2 linked regions of the Styela clava genome follow. The protein of the gene in region 1 purifies or fractionates together with the protein of each later gene. This does not show direct contact. Links are inferred from orthologs where the notes say so. Each region holds a gene or a part of one and is shown in the gene's direction. Other genes may lie near its edges.

Region 1 (2,974 bases):
CATCTGTACCTGACATTATTATTTGATGTATCGTTTTGCTGCTTCAGTTTCGTAGCTTGCTTTTGTGGATTTGCTTATACACAGTGAAAAAAAAGCCAAAAAAAATTATCCCAACTGTAATTTGTTCAGTTTTCTATAAAGGAACGATTACCATATTTACATCCTAAGAAATGTGATCGCTATTATGTTCTTGTATATTGTCAAATTTTTGAAAGGAATTCCAATTTCTTGTGGGAAATTTTGTACTGCAACATTAGTTCATTTTTTATTGAATTTCTTAAATTGCTATCAATTCTTAGAGAAAGTGTTGAAAATGGCATAATACCAAATATCATTGTATCATAATAGGACATTATATGCTTGCTGAATTCTGTTTTTGTTCCTGATTTTATATGTTAATTTGAGTCACGATATGAGATCTTCACTAACTACTATAGTTCTGTAATTTGAAAAGTTCTTTAATTTTTAAATATATTCCACTTTCTAACATAATTGATGTTCATTCCAATTAATGTCAGTACAAGGAAAACAAGTCATTGTATTAAACCACTCCTAATAATGTATGTTAAATTCACAGAAGTAATCGGTGAATGTTGGCGAATATAACTTCTATTTCTTTCAAATCCCTCTGCTAGAATACTCAGTAATGCCACTATAATATCTTTTAATGATTGTCTTGGGGTTTTTTCAATTATTAGAATAGCAAATATAACGACCGATACTACACTCCCGTGGGTCTTGGAATTCAACAATTTTTTCATTGAAATTTTCTCCATCTACAACAGCAGATAGACTACCCTTATTAATGGCTCCTGAGCTCATTTTTGAGTAATAATGCGTCAACATAATTCCGTCTGAACCCCAGGGAATGAAGGCTGTTCATCTTATTGTATTTTTGCAAATCTTAAAAGTTATAAGTGCTCGTGTACGAGTATAGCCAATGTTGATTGGGTTATGAATTTTATCATTACACTGCAGTTATTAAAAAGATCGATAGTACCTTGTTTTGACAATATGAGCTTTTATTCATGTTAGTGTTCTTTATTGTTTGGAGCAGCATCTAACATTTCACCTGACAATTTCATGACTTAATATTATTAATGACCCATGCCTAGTTGATTAAGTATACCCATAATAGAAGAATATTTAAATTTTGACCAAAAAATGCATATATAAAGATTTGCATTACTTATTAGAGCAAGAAAAGCATTTTATATCAGAATCTTCAATTGAAATTGTTATAAGTTAGTTGTTATAAAATAGTTAACATTTGGTTATAAGCTCTTTCTTCTCGTTATACAGATTGAATAATGAAAATGAAATCTATTCTGGGTATGCTTTATCTTCCAGTAGTTAGTTAACTTGTAAAATTTTGATTGTTTTCAATGTTTTTGTTATTGATGTCAGTAGTGAAATAGAAACTTTACATTACAGATTTCTAGCAGTAATTTATAAATAGTTTATTGTACTTGGATCCTGAGAAAATGTCTGATCATGAGGATGATGGTTTTGATGAAGGATTTGATGATGAAGGAGAAGGGATGGAGGATGTGGAAGATGCTAATGATGATAATCAAGAAGAAGGAGGTGTTGGGATTCTAGATGCCCATGAAGCAGGCCCTATAAGTCCTGCGAATCGTATTACTTCACCTTATATGACGAAATATGAACGTGCCCGTGTGTTGGGAACCAGGGCGCTACAAATATCAATGAATGCTCCTGTGATGGTAGAATTAGAAGGAGAAACTGACCCTCTACAAATCGCAATGAAAGAACTAAAAGCAAAAAAGATTCCTATTATTGTTCGAAGATATTTACCGGATGGTAGTTATGAGGACTGGGGTATTGAAGAGTTGATAATTGAGTAACTTGGACTTTACGAGACCGTATGGATTACTACGTTTGTTTGAGTAAAGCTATAGCTACTATGCATGTTCAAATCGAACTAGGATATTGACGAAGTGCGGCTGGCTTCCAAACTGTCATCTACTGGTGGACGACTTGAAATCTATTAAAATAATTATACTATTCCATGGTCTAGTAAATGTCTTGATTTTAAATTGGTTTTTAAACATTATTTAATAGGTCATTATCGGGGTCAAAAAAATTTCTAACCACAATTGAAAAATGAGCGTTTACCTGCTGGTTTCAGAAGTTTAGGTGAGCTGTATGACACAGAACAATACTCTTATTTCTACATTGTGTGTTGCCAGACAAAATTAATGTCACAATTATGTGTATTCAAATTTTGTTTGAAATTATGATACTGCATACATTTTTTATTATCTTAAAACTGCCATCATTTTTTAGAATCTATATTGAGTATTCCTAAATGATATTCTATATATTACTGGGTAATTGATTCTTGATATCAAAATGAAAGTTTTGAATGTAGCTGTTATTGGAGCAGGGGCTGCTGGTGAGTTTTCAGATTATTTATGTTTGTGTGTTAGTGTGTATCCATTTTCTATATATAAAAAAAAAAGTTTTATAAAGCTGAAGGATTAAATATGAAGACTCAGAATAGTTTAGAATTTAAGTCTGTCTTGTGAATAATTTTGTTAGATAAATTTAGATACGGTATATGAATCATTGTGTTCTATGAAAATGGGAATTCACAGAATCACAGAAAATCATCACTTTTTCCTATGAGTAATAATTTTGAATATCATCACACTAATTTCTTCCTAATCCAAATAACTCTTGTATCATCTGTTCAAATGGCATTCAAATAAAAAAAATTAGGTAGAAAATATTACACCTGAATGGGATTTCTTGATCAAAGTGCTGGATGGTATATATTTCTATCACCTCTATAAATCTGCAGACACAATAGACATAATGTCATCGAAATTTTGTGACTCATTTCCATACACATGAAAATACTTATCATGAAAATGAGCTGTTTGTGTCCATATGTCATGCAACATTATATGATATCCGTTCAAATTAGGTTGCCGCAATTTTCAATCAA
Region 2 (3,686 bases), on another chromosome or scaffold:
AGTACCGGTATTCAGGCATTTGTAACCAAAAAATGGAACAATGAAAAATGGAATTCGTCAGTTCGCATACCGGTACGGTACCGTATCCCTCAGACAGTCCAGCAGGCAGCAGTCAGACAGTCCTGCAGTCATAGGCCTCATTCTGTCATTCCAGTTTCTTTGTCAGGCACATTGACTGCTGGAACATGTATATCTCAGTATATGGTCTTGGTTTTCTTCGGCATAAAAGAAATCTCAACTCACAGACTCAGCAACTCGAAGACTGAAACCTTGTGGTGAGCTCAGAAACTGGCTTACAACTAATATTACAGTTTGAGTTTACACTAACAGACTAAGTAGGTCAGCAGTTAGGTGAGTTGCAGTTGACGATATAGAAATTTTTAATACCTTTTGAATATGTGGACATTTTGTATTTGGAGAATTAATTATTATGTGTTACACAGGGTAACCCCAAGAAAACAACTTATTTCAAGAGTATTTTTTCCCAATCTGCTATTACTGTACTGTACAATAATTTTTAAGCCTTTAACATTACTCTTTAATATCCATTTGTCTCACAGTATTCACTCAGATCAATGCAAATTTCGTGCAAAATCTATTTCCAGAACTCCTGGCCATTGTTGTCAGAATGTTTATTGGGAGTTAGATAGCAATCTGAATACAGCATTGATTGCTTGCAACTCAATCTATGAAGAATGATTTCTCGACTTGAGTGAGGTTACCGAAATTGAACTGAATTCTTGTTTATTAATTTCAGATTTATAGTATTACTATTAAATAATATATTATATCAATAAAAGTGTAAAAAAATGGAAGTAATATCAGATAAAGTTCCAATGATGTTATCCAATTATGAAATGCATGGATTATTGACAACATATTCTGCAGAAATGAAAACAGGGAAACATAAAACTGGACAAAGAGATCAAAATTTATCAACTATCACATATGAAGTTCTTAAATATCTGGAGGGAACACCATGTATTAATCAAAATGAACAGTGCATTAAAGATGCATGCCTTGCATTGGCACCATATAATTTGTCAAAAGCAGAAAAACTTCAAATAATGAATTTACGACCTACGACCCCTGTTGAAATTTCGCTAATTGTGGAAGAAAATGAAGAAAGAATTTCTGAAGAACAAATAGACGAGATTCTAGAAATCGTAAAAAAACTTCCTCCCGGTCCCGGATCTGAGGACAAGGAGAATGAAGCAGAAGAAATGGAGGAGGAAGTGGGAAATGAATGATTCTCACGTTAATCAACAGCATTAGGTGGTTGATGGATCTTTCGTCATGAAATATGCTGATGTTAGACATTGACTGAATTGTAAAGGCTGAGGGTAAAGAAGGTAAAGCATTGTGGTTTCAAATGCATATTTGATTCACTTGCTTATTTGAATGAAGTTAATTTATAGTAGGTTTATGAAATTCTATCAATATGGATTGAGCAGAACTTGGAATTGGAGATAAAAAAACAAAACAAATTGAAACATTGGCTTGATGATTAATTGACTGCTTTGAAAAATTATTTGAGACAGCTTTACTTTTTCAGAGATTGTGCTTTTCTTGAAAATCACCATTTCAAAGAAAAAACTTTACTGTAAAGGCAGTTCTTTACAAAACTGAACTGGTTGGATGCATGAAAAGAAGAACACATGGAGATTTCAGATTGTTCTATTGTATAAACAAGGACATTTATATTTAACATCTTTTTAATAAATGAAATTACTTTTTATAGCAATGAAGTAATATTCTTTAATGTTGGACTCAAAGTGGACCAATGGATCGTTTCGTTATTATGTTTTTGTCAAAATTTTTCTTCCTATCATTATGAAAAAAAATATTTTTTCTCTTCAATCACTAGACAAATTGCTTTAAAATTTTCAGTGGTTAGAGATTGTATTTTTTCCAGAAGGCTATACCGTACTATTTGTTGTTATTTGTTTGATATTTTAACTAAAATGCGGTGTAATCTTTAATTAGGGGAACTCATTTTTATGCCATCGTGATGACTGTCTTCCACAATTGTATGACATTGTGACGGTACTGTAACAGATTGCATACTTGTACTACAGCGTTTTTAACTTTGTGTTCTTATATTTGAGCATCGCTCTCTTGTTGTTAATAGTTTTCGAAAATGCTTTAAGTTCTCAGAATACAAGTACCGATAAATAACAAATTCTACTATGCTTCATTTCACTAAGTTTATTTAATATTTCAAGTTACTTATTAAAGTCTGAACTGATACGTATTATAAATCATATATTAATAAAATTAATATAACAAACTTCCATGTATGTGTGGTGTGGTTGAAAAATAAAATAACAGGGAACAGAGAAAATGAAAAGTTTGTTACCATGATGGCATCATTTTGAACACATCATCTGTTGTATATTTCACATCAGATTGCTTTGGGTTAGCCTAGGTTTTGAAGTATTACCATATTAATATGTAATGTTTGGAGGAGGCCAGTTTATTATTATGTCACCATTGCATGTCTTCAGAACAAATCATTTTTTTGCTGACAAATAATTTTCGGTTTTTAATTACAGAACTGATTTGTATGGTGGTGTCATTTTGTTGTTGTTGCCAGCTTATTTTTTTTTCTTTGTCATTGTTTGGATTTTGAAATTTATTTCTGCATGATATTTTTTTGTTGATTTGTTTTATTTTGTTTTGATTTAGGTAGATACCATGATATACCTACTTTTCGGTGTGTATATATGGTATCCCAAAAATATGAATGATTGTGTGGTTTGTAAGTTGTAATTCTTGTTCTTTAAAGTTCATGATTGGAAGAAAAAAATGTTCCCGTTATTTTGGACTATTTTGCTGCATAATTATTGTATGAGCTAGCAATGAAGTTTTTTCAATTTTTGATTTTATTTCACTGTATTTGTATAGCAGTATGAAAGGCAATATCAACTATGATTTGTATGATGAATTAAAATCCTTTTAAGTAATAATCTTCTGAATTCAAATTATGAAGCATGATTGCTGATGTTTTTATTTTTATTTTAAAGCATGCTGTATATACTAGTTGGTGTGTTTTGTTTGAGCTTAGCTTTTTGTACTTTGGATGAATCAATGAATAATTGCAAAACACTTTGTGGACATGGATTTCAATAGCGGGTGAGTTTTTTTTGTTCAATTTATTACATTTGGATGAAATTGAAATTGCTATATGTTAATTTTGGCAAGTTTTACTAATTGGCTATGTGTCAACCTAGGAATATGTTGAAATTTTTTTTCTCTGTGGGGGGGGGGGGGAATGGCCCTCAAGGCCACCCTCCCCCAAAATAAAAATTTCGACATATGTATAATGCACGGTGAGACACAAATTCATACGCCTTTTCAAACACCATATTGCTATATTCTTAAATGATTCACGGAAAAACAAACGTTTCTTTGCTTACTATCAATTATTGTTTCACCATGATTTAACAAAATATTGTCATGTTACGCTATGATGCTTTGATCTTGTATAATTTGCATGTTTTTTGGTTTAATCATTGATATGCTTGAAGTATTGACTTCAAGCTCTTTTGCACGATTTTTCTGGTTGCTAGGACGTGATGCTTTATTCATAGTGTGTACGGGGTCTGCTGTTTCCTAATTGTTATTGGCTGTGCCGATTCTTGAAGTAAAGTTTGTCAATGATAGCATCTTGGTAAATTTTAATA

The links.
Region 2: the proteins of DNA-directed RNA polymerases I, II, and III subunit RPABC2-like (region 1) and DNA-directed RNA polymerase III subunit RPC9-like purify together in Homo sapiens (affinity purification with mass spectrometry; 5 studies listed by BioGRID and IntAct, with this or other methods). This does not show direct contact. The link is inferred for Styela clava from reciprocal best matches to the Homo sapiens genes POLR2F and CRCP.

Annotation. Positions count from the first base shown.
Region 1 is NC_135263.1:9,244,847-9,247,820, forward strand, and holds DNA-directed RNA polymerases I, II, and III subunit RPABC2-like, read left to right. Parts: upstream 1-1,473; 5' UTR 1,474-1,484; coding exon 1,485-1,868; 3' UTR 1,869-2,312; downstream 2,313-2,974. Other genes in the region: uncharacterized protein LOC120340860, read left to right, coding at 2,377-2,419. UniProt on the Homo sapiens protein: DNA-dependent RNA polymerase catalyzes the transcription of DNA into RNA using the four ribonucleoside triphosphates as substrates.
Region 2 is NC_135255.1:9,168,365-9,172,050, reverse strand, and holds DNA-directed RNA polymerase III subunit RPC9-like, read left to right. Parts: upstream 1-749; 5' UTR 750-809; coding exon 810-1,250; 3' UTR 1,251-1,352; intron 1,353-1,555; 3' UTR 1,556-3,026; downstream 3,027-3,686. UniProt on the Homo sapiens protein: DNA-dependent RNA polymerase catalyzes the transcription of DNA into RNA using the four ribonucleoside triphosphates as substrates.